Linked DNA regions of Arabidopsis thaliana. The protein of the gene in region 1 interacts with the protein of each later gene in a pairwise test. Each region holds a gene or a part of one and is shown on either strand. Other genes may lie near its edges.

Region 1 (6,248 bases):
TTAAACAATCAACCCTTGAATTAACATCTTCTAATTGTTTTGAGACCAAACACACAACTATTACCAAACCTTACATATTTTAAAGCTATTTCTCGATATCTAACATTTTAGTTTAATTATAGACATAACCGTTTTGATGATTAAAATAGTTAAATAAAGATTATGATATTTATTGGGATAATTTCTTTTCAAACACTATATTATTATTTATTAAGAAAAGACTTTCTTGGTTTCAAATTAGTTGTCGTTTGAGATTTTTTTCAGGCTTATTTTTAAATATTCATTTATGTTTTCTGTTTTAGCATTAACTAAACTAAAATAATTTATTCTTTTCTGTTTTAGCATTGATATTATCAATTAATAAACTAAAAGAAGAAGGGGCAAATTGAAATTTTTGTCAATAATTGTATTGAAAACACAAAACCATAAATAATTTGAAGCAAACTTGAACGTCTACAGTTACAATTAATTTGAAACGAAGTGGGTATATTTTTCAAAGGTTAGAATATTTTTAGAATCTATATAAAAAAAGTAATTAAGGATTAACATTTGTTAACAAGAAAAACTAAACACGATCTATAATTTGATCTCTGGTAATGATTCTTTTTAGCAGTAAATGAGGAAATTATTGCATCAAAACAATTTTATAAACCGAAAATGAGAAACCGAAGAACTCGTGCCCTCGTCATTTTGCCACCGACACCTTTGACTTTCTATAAAATATCACTCAACTCCTAACATTTTTAAAATAACATTATACTTCTTCTGTAGCCGTATATTCTCGCATTACTTCAGTTCATGCAGACAATTTCAGAACCAGAAGAAGCTTCTTACGAAGACAATACAAGTTACAACAACGACCGTTTAAGAACACTAGTAGATAAAATATCACTAACTAAATCATCAACCAAAGCAGAAACAATCTCTCCTTCCATGTCTATTCCTTCCTCAAACATCTCTCTTTCATAACCAATCCATCTCCCTTCAAAACAGCTCATGTCATGATCCACAAGCTCGTCGATCATCATCTCTCTCATCTTCTTCAACCCTTTTACTTCTCTGTTCACTTCTTCAGCCAACAAATCTCTATGTTCCAACAAAATCCCACCTGACATCATCATCCCTTTGCAGCTTCCAATTAACATCCTTTCAAATTTCACCGCTAAGCACTGATTCACACAGTCGAAAAGCGCCTTTCTTTCTGTCTTCATTGACGTTGCAGCTCCTCGAGAGCGTTCCATTTCATCAAAGAGGCTGGAGGGTAGTAATGATTCATTAGTGGTTGTCCCTGAGGCGAAGTCTTGAAACATGAGCTGCCCAGAGTTGAGGATCTCGGTTATGTACTCGAGCTCCCAATCGAGTGTTGCTGATTCTGTTTCATCTAAGGTGTGCTGGGACTCGTTGGATGAACCCCAAGTGAGCTCTTGATCTGATGAACTCTGTTTCATGCCTGAAAAAACCAACAACATTAAGCTTATCTAGCTGCAAATCAAACCAATACTAAGACTATTAGGTGTGAATTCAAATCCTGGTGAAGAAAATCTAGACATAAATTCACAAAGACATACCATATTCTCTGTCATGTCTGCAATCTGAGATACTCTTGCTGCAGGAGAGTGCAAAATCATCAGCTTCTGTAAGAGTGGTGATGCTGCTAACTTCTTGTTCTTCTCCCTGTATTACCTTCTGCTTCTAAAAGGAAAAAGACAAGATTTTCTCAGAGACTGGTAAGCCGGAAAAGCATTCGATATTATAGAATAGTGAAGCTATAGTTTATGGAAACTAACCTGGACTTTCTGGCTGTTAAAGAATGAAGTGCAGTCAGAAACAGATTCACTCTCTGTTAAAACTCTATCAAGACTGCTTTGAGTCAATCCGCTATATTTGGAAGGCGATGAAATCATCGCATTCGCTCTATCTTTTGAAATGGAACTCAAGGGCTCTTCTTGGATCAAGCTAGAGCTAGATGATTCAATCTTCGTTGTCAATTCCCTGAGCTTCTGCTCCAAAAGCGCATTTAAAGAATCACCACCTATCACATTGAACCTTATAGCAGAGTCTGCATCTTGTTTGGTTCCTTGTGAATGAGGAGATGATAAACCTTTGATCGAAGATGAGAAAGTGAAAGATATCACATCCATGTCCCTTTTCTGATCATCTTTACTAGTACTCGAGTCGCCATCAATGGAAATGTTACATTTTATCGACTTTTCACCCCTTTTGATCCGCTTATCTTCATAAATTCCAGATTCTTGCACTCCATTCCGCGGTTTTTTGCTTCGAGGAAGACTCTTTTTGCGGGATAAAGGTAAAGAAGTGGGTTTTTCTGCTGATGACATAGTAAATCCTGAGCTCTTCGATATAGATCCACTTTCCACAAGAACCTTATTTACTACTTTGTTCATTACTCTCCTGGATTGCTGATTGTCTCTGCAGTTCTGCTTCTGGTTGTTTTGCCTAAGCACATTCTTTCCGGTACTCAAGGAAGATCCTTTGCTACTGTTTTGGCTTTTAACCGCCCTATTCTTAGCTTCCACTTTCTCCTTTTGTCCCGAAGACATCCTCTTGTTGCCACTTGAAGACATTGATAAGCTGTCTTGCTTCTGATTACTGCTGACTTTTGCTTGCGCAGCGAAAGAAGGTGGCTTCACTTCACCACCTTTCAAAGCATCATAACTGTTTTTCCCCAATACTGTAGTTTTCTTCTCGTTTTGATCTCCTCTTAGGTACCTACTGTTCCGAGTATCATTAGAGATTTGAGGAACTGAAGTTGACGCTTTCTGCGCAGCTTCAAGTTTCTCTTTCAAATCTCGAATCCTCAATGGAACTGGAGAAGAAGAATCAGACGATGACACCATCCGTGTTCTTGCAATCATCCGTGGACTTTGCTCGATCATTCTTGAAGCAGCTTCCATTACATAAGCAGGGTTCCTAGATGGAACAAATCCAGGATTCCTTATTGGAGACAAGAGCTTATTGTGAGTGACAGAGATCGGTTTAGCTGATCTCGGGGGTAAAGTTTCGGTTTGAAACCGCTCAATCATCCGTTTACGCGGCCCTTTACTGGTTCTTGAATCCAAATGATCCCAAGAAACACCATCGAAGTCACTCTGACGATCAACATTAGCATCCCAAGTGTTTGCTTGGCGCGAGGATCTGAGAAAGTATGGATCAAGATCAGGATTAACCCGTGGTTCCAAAACGTTTGGTAGTGGTAAACCCTCTAAACCCATAAGCCTCGCTACCACACTTGCTCTAACCACATTTCCATCATCACTAGTAACAGATGAAGCACAACAGCTAGAGTCACTTCTCGGGTTGTAAGTTGGGTTCTTTACACTCTGATCAACTTCAAACTGTTGTAAACAGATCACACCAAAGAACACAAATAGTTCATGTCATTCAGTAAACTAACACAAAACAAAACATTGCATCAAACAAGGAAAATGGTGTTGAGTAAGAAAAGGCTTACAACAGAATGCGGCGTAATAGAGGGGTTTTGAACATTCTCTTTTGCTTGCTTAGATTCTTCTGTTTTAAAAGAAGAAACTTTAGATTATTAAACTTCATTACCTTAACTTATATATACAACAAAAGCTGGAAGACATACCAGAGAGTTGGGAGAGATTGGAAGAGAAAAGCTTCTTCCTGGATTTTCCATGCCAATCAAACAGATTTAGAAACGCTCCTCTTGGTCTTTTTCTCTCAACGACGTCCATCTTAATTTACCTATGGATCAAAACAATTGAATCAGTTTAATTTCAATGGAATGCACTTATAAGACGCTGGATCCCATCAAACAACAAGACCCCAGATAAAAAAGATCAAAACTTTTCCATTTTATTATAATGAATCACCCAATTTCAGCTGAAGGATATAGAGAATGTGATTGATATAGCAGAAGATTAAAGGAAATTAGATCAGGAATGAAATTTGATTACCTCTCAGTTTCTCAGGCTGCCAAAGATCTCATTTTTTACTTATGGATCCATCCATTAAGTGTAATTTGCAGAAACCCTATACCGAATTCAGCAAAATGAGAACCCAGACAGACACAGCTGAGAGATGTTTTGCAAATTGGATTGACCCAAATCGAAACAATGGTGGCTTTGGGAGATCTAGCCCTAAAGATCGACCAAAGCTCTCCACTTTTATCTCTCTCAGCTCACGAATCGCACTGTAGAACAAGAACAACGACCATGGAAGAAGATAAAAACACAAAATGAGATTTATCAAATCAGACAAACAAAACAAAGAAAATATTTGGGGGGTTTTGGAGGAATGCGTAAGATCAGGAAGGCTCAAAGCAGATTTGAGATTAGGGATTTGGGTAGTGAGCTAAGAGAAGTGAAGAAGCAGCAAGAGACGTTTTTAAAAAAATGAGAGAAGCTGAGTTTGAATTGAAATGACGACAGAGAGAGCCGTTGCAAAGAGAGAGAGAGAGAGAAAGACAGACAGAGACAAAGAGAGTTTTGAATTTAGGAAACTGAAAGCTCCCTCCTTTGAGCTATTAAAAGTGTTTCTTTTTTCTATACATAAAAGGAAAATCTTTTGTTTCAACAACTATTTTGGCTTTTATACATATAGCATGATCTCATCTACAAATATATATAGCTTGATGATGTTTTTTTTTTTTTTTTGTCACAAGCTTGATGATGTTTATATTTGGTATCCAATGCAGATGGAAATATATAGCTTGATGATGTTTATACATGTTTCAGTTCAGTTTGCAGTTTCAAACATAAGAGAATTTGAATTGGTTAGGGGACAAAAAAAACACATAATTTAAAAGAGGTCATAACGATTCAATTTTCAGGTGTAGAAAAATAAAGGCAAAGACTTTATTGTAAACAGTGCAATCACTGTATATATTAATATTCCATTTTGATTATTATAAAATTATTTCGTTGGGCATTACCACAATTCATATTTGTGTCCGTCTCACAAGGGCTCCACTTTCGTATAGTTTTGAATATTTGTAATATGCTGCATTCTATGATTCGAATTACTTAAAAGTTCAAATTTTTTTTGGACTCTTGATATTTCACAATCAGTTTTTTTTTTTAAAAACAGAATAAATGAGTAGAGGAAGTTGTTGTGGTTTGAGTTGCTTCGAAGTAGCGAAACCAAAGAGAGTAGAGTATATGAGAACGATGTCTGAACAATTCGATAAAATCCCTAGGAAGCTTTACACGCATGAAGACTTGAATCTCACAATGCAGAGCCGATAGTGAATTCATACTTTTCAAAGTTAAACTTCCGAAAATAAAATCAAATTAATAACATTTCAAAACTTTTAATCAGTAGTTTACTAGCTGTTACAAACCGAAATATTTTAATAAACAGAGAGAGAAAGTTAAAGAGACAATGACAAAACACAAACCAACATGGTTGAAAGGTTGACTCATATATATATATATATATATATATATATATATATATATATTGAGTATTTAATTTCTTATTTTTAATTCCAAAAATCATTATTTTAGATCAATAGTTTTTATTGATTTTTTTGTAAACTATTGAATAATAGAGAATTTTAAATTTTCCTAGATCCCTAATTCCAACATACTTATTTCTCTGTTGATTCTTTTTATCTCCAAAATCGACTTTAAAAGATTGATATTCAATAGTTTTAATCAAACAGTTTCTATTTTAAAAATCGTTGAAACCAAATCTCGTGGATTTCTAGATCTATAACTATTAATTCAAGAAGATTTAGATATTGAACTTTTGTTTCGGAAAGAAATAGATATAAAATTATTTCTTCGAGGACATATAGATCGTGCTCACAAATCAGATTCTATCTAGTATGATGTGTCGAGGAAATAGACTGTTTTCCGGAAGAGATAGTCGAAATTCGTATATGGGCCAATCTTTATAAGAAAATAACCTTTAGAAAAGTTACACTAGAAGAAAGTCCGGCCCATCTTTATAAGAAAACTATTATGGGCCAAAATAAAGGTAGGCCCATTAACCCAGGGAAATAATATATCAGTGATAAATCCTTCTTCTGTCCCCTTCCTCCTTAAACCCTAATCTCTGTACTCTCTCTTCCTCAATCCCTCCCATGACCACCGCAGTTTCGCCGCCGCCGCCGCAGGAGCAGCAACTTGTTCACGCTTCGCAGACTTCAAGAGTGAGTCCCAAGACAGTGGAGAGCGCCCTCAATGGTCTTATCAATTGGAGAAGCGACAAATCAAAGACAGAGAAGCCTCAACTTCTCGAAGAAGACGAGCTCGTCT
Region 2 (3,642 bases), on another chromosome or scaffold:
ACAAAAAAAAAAGTAGCTAAAAATGAAAAGCATTTTCAACAAGTTTTTGATTTGTTCGTGCATTTCTTATTTGTGTATAATCTATTTATCTTATATGGTTATGTTATGACTCTTTCTGGACGCAGAAGCTACGAACCCGTGTGATGAAAAAGAATTTGAATACAGAATGGAACGAAGACTTGACACTTTCTGTTACTGATCCAACTCTTCCTGTCAAGATCGTAAGTGATTTCGACATTACAACCAAATCAAACACGATACATTAGATTAGACCACAATATGGATTCTTTATATTTGGAAGTTTGAAACAAGACTTAACAAGAAAAATTGGTGTTTTTTTTTTGTTATAAACAGATGGTGTACGATAGGGACAGGTTCTCAAGGGATGATAAGATGGGAGATGCGATTTTTCACATTGATCCGTTCCTTGAAGCCATCAGAATCCAAAACCAACTAGGAGGACTACCTGAGGGGACTGTAATAATGAAGATACAGGCAAGCAGACAAAACTGCTTGTCAGAAGAGAGCAAGATTGTATGGCACAAAGGAAAGATTGTCCAGAACATGTTCCTTAAGCTTCAGAATGTTGAACGAGGGGAGATAGAGCTGCAGCTTGAGTGGATCGATGTCTCCGGCGCCTTGACTGATGATGCGGAGGATGTTGCTTTCTAGATCGACTCTATACTACAAGAAATTCCTGTGATGATACGGCGAAAACAATAACACAAACTGATGTAGTGATTTACTCAATTAATAATCTTAATGCACTAGCGATCTTATCGATGAAGCAATTAAGAGTAGAACCACAAGGACTAATTCACATTAAGAATGCACATAATTACTTAACTTAAGAACTAAATGTTGCATTGATTCAATAAACCGGTTGCAATAATTTATTTAAATATATATTTTAGTTTTAAAAATTAGTTATATAACAATTTATACAGAGTGATGAGGTCGTATATATTAAATATTATAAAAGTTACAATGCTCAGTCAAAATAAACTAAGAATTACATGGGTCTATAAAATAAAATCAAATATTACAATGATTCGTCGAATAACGATTACAACTTTATTTAAATAAATAAATATTTCTAAATTATATAAAAAGTTATACCGAAATACGCAACAGTAGATAATTAAAAGTTTATTAAATAAAAAAAATTACAACGGCTCATAAAACAAAATCAAAAGTTGCAATGATTCGTCCATATAGATCAAATGTTATAACAGTTCAATTAATCTGTTGCAATTTTATTTAAACATATTTTAGTAATCAAAAATAACCAGAAAATGAAAATATATAACTTTAGTTGAACATACATAACTTTTTAACAAAACATTATTATAACTTTTTAACTTTAGTTTCTTTTTTTTGTAATATTTTGAAGAAATGTTGCAATAGAAAGACAACCATGTAGAAGTACAAAACAGATTTATTGACATTGTTATTATTATACGTAATTAAAAAGAACGAAGAGTCTGGCTGCTAAGTGCAGTGAACCATTTCTCTTGTCTAAACAATAGCAAAACAAACTAATTTTTAGCAAATTCAGCATGAATTAAACGTGGATATAAAATATGGCAGTCACTGCACTCTCTATATAAAACCTCCAATAATTTGTGAAGGCTTCACACATGCCATATATATAAATTTTATAAAATTTGTGAGATAATTTTCTATTATCTTTGCTCCATGGGCGAATCACCCAAAGGGTTGAGAAAAGGTACATGGACTACTGAAGAAGATATTCTCTTGAGGCAATGCATTGATAAGTATGGAGAAGGCAAATGGCATCGAGTTCCTTTAAGAACTGGTATTTGTTTCATGCTTTTTAAGGTGGTTCATGAAAATACTATTTATATCGATTGGTGTGCATATATTCTTCATGATAAAGATAAAGGAGGTACAAAAGAAATCTAAGTAGGTATAGTAAATTCGACTTTTGGTTTTATAGGTCTCAATCGGTGCCGAAAGAGTTGTAGACTTAGATGGTTGAATTATTTGAAGCCAAGTATTAAGAGAGGAAAACTCTGCTCCGATGAAGTTGATCTTGTTCTTCGCCTTCATAAACTTCTAGGAAATAGGTATTGTTTTCTCGATAGTCAATACTATTTCTTTAGGGATCGCGGTTCAATACTAGAAACTCTCATGTATATTGTTTCACAATGTTTAGGTGGTCCTTGATCGCTGGTAGATTGCCTGGTCGGACTGCTAATGATGTCAAGAATTACTGGAACACTCATTTGAGTAAGAAGCACGATGAACGATGCTGTAAGACGAAGATGATAAACAAAAACATTACTTCTCATCCTACTTCATCGGCCCAAAAAATCGATGTTTTAAAGCCTCGGCCTCGATCCTTCTCCGATAAAAATAGTTGCAACGATGTCAATATCTTGCCAAAAGTTGACGTTGTTCCTTTACATCTTGGACTCAACAACAATTATGTTTGTGAAAGTAGTATTACATGTAACAAAGATGAGCAAAAAGATAAGCTTATTAATATTAATCTATTGGATGGAGATAATATGTGGTGGGAAAGTTTACTGGAGGCAGATGTGTTGGGTCCAGAAGCTACGGAAACAGCAAAGGGTGTGACCTTACCGCTTGACTTTGAGCAAATTTGGGCTCGGTTTGATGAAGAGACTTTAGAACTGAATTAGTGTTGCTCCCCATTTTTGTTTGCACGTGTGTATTTATGTTTCTGTGGATGTTTTTTATATTGCAATTTTTAAAAATTGTATTATTAAATTCATATCAAAGGTGGCAGCATTTGTTACAATATAACTTAACACGAATTCAAACCCGAGAAGATAACGTCTAATGGTTCATTAGGAGATAATATGAGAGTCGTTTCTACTTATATTGTGTTGTATGAGGTGATGCGATGAGAGTGAAGAAAGGGATGTTTCTACTTATGTTTTTTTTTGCTTTTTATTTACAAATTTATGGTCTTTTCTAAACCAACGTCAGAAAGTTCAATTCTCCAAAAAAACTACATGAATCGTAATTTTTTTTTATCTACAATACTACGTTTTAAATTGACCTAGATAATTAGGATCAGAGTAAGCTGCAATAAACTAAAAGAGAAAAAAGTAAGAAAAAAAAACTAAAAAAAGAAAGAAAGAAAAACAATTCTTCTTCTTCTCCGATGGAGACACACGTTCCTCCAACTCGAACAAATGGATGCATGCCTCAAAGTGGGTCCATTCAATCCGATCTGAAATTAAGCAGACTCAAAATTGGTCCGATTGATCTAAACCGAAATCAATTTTAATTATGATGAGATTTTGTCGAAATTAATAATTAGAAGGGTCATTGATTATTTTAAGGAGACATGTGAGCTATCTCGCACATTAAAATCAAGAAAGAACTTTGAGTGATATCATATGGATCAATATATTTATTATATCAATTGGTTTTGACTTTTCCTCTTAAAAGAAAACAACAACAGTTTTCTAACGCAAATAATGTTGATGTCCTTTGGATCCATGTCGGTTGCATAGTATACACTAAACATGCATTGGAAAAAAACAAAAATTCTTAAAACTTACCATTATCGTTGTTTTTATTAGCTTTGAATGATAAACTACTATCAAAACGATATATTTTTTTTGTATATTTTCGATATTTATC

The links.
Region 2: the proteins of TRM7 (region 1) and MYB113 interact in a two-hybrid assay, tested with the Arabidopsis thaliana proteins (one large-scale study listed by BioGRID).

Annotation. Positions count from the first base shown.
Region 1 is NC_003074.8:21,695,501-21,701,748, forward strand, and holds TRM7 (GPI-anchored adhesin-like protein), read right to left. Parts: upstream 4,499-6,248; 5' UTR 3,942-4,498; intron 3,730-3,941; 5' UTR 3,720-3,729; coding exon 3,611-3,719; intron 3,532-3,610; coding exon 3,473-3,531; intron 3,357-3,472; coding exon 1,788-3,356; intron 1,693-1,787; coding exon 1,569-1,692; intron 1,451-1,568; coding exon 849-1,450; 3' UTR 572-848; downstream 1-571. Other genes in the region: AT3G58660 (Ribosomal protein L1p/L10e family), read left to right, coding at 6,074-6,248.
Region 2 is NC_003070.9:24,751,936-24,755,577, forward strand, and holds MYB113 (myb domain protein 113), read left to right. Parts: upstream 1-1,653; 5' UTR 1,654-1,698; coding exon 1,699-1,819; intron 1,820-1,960; coding exon 1,961-2,090; intron 2,091-2,179; coding exon 2,180-2,669; 3' UTR 2,670-2,826; downstream 2,827-3,642. Other genes in the region: AT1G66360 (Calcium-dependent lipid-binding (CaLB domain) family protein), read left to right, coding at 126-221, 355-672. UniProt on the Arabidopsis thaliana protein: Transcription activator, when associated with BHLH002/EGL3/MYC146, BHLH012/MYC1, or BHLH042/TT8.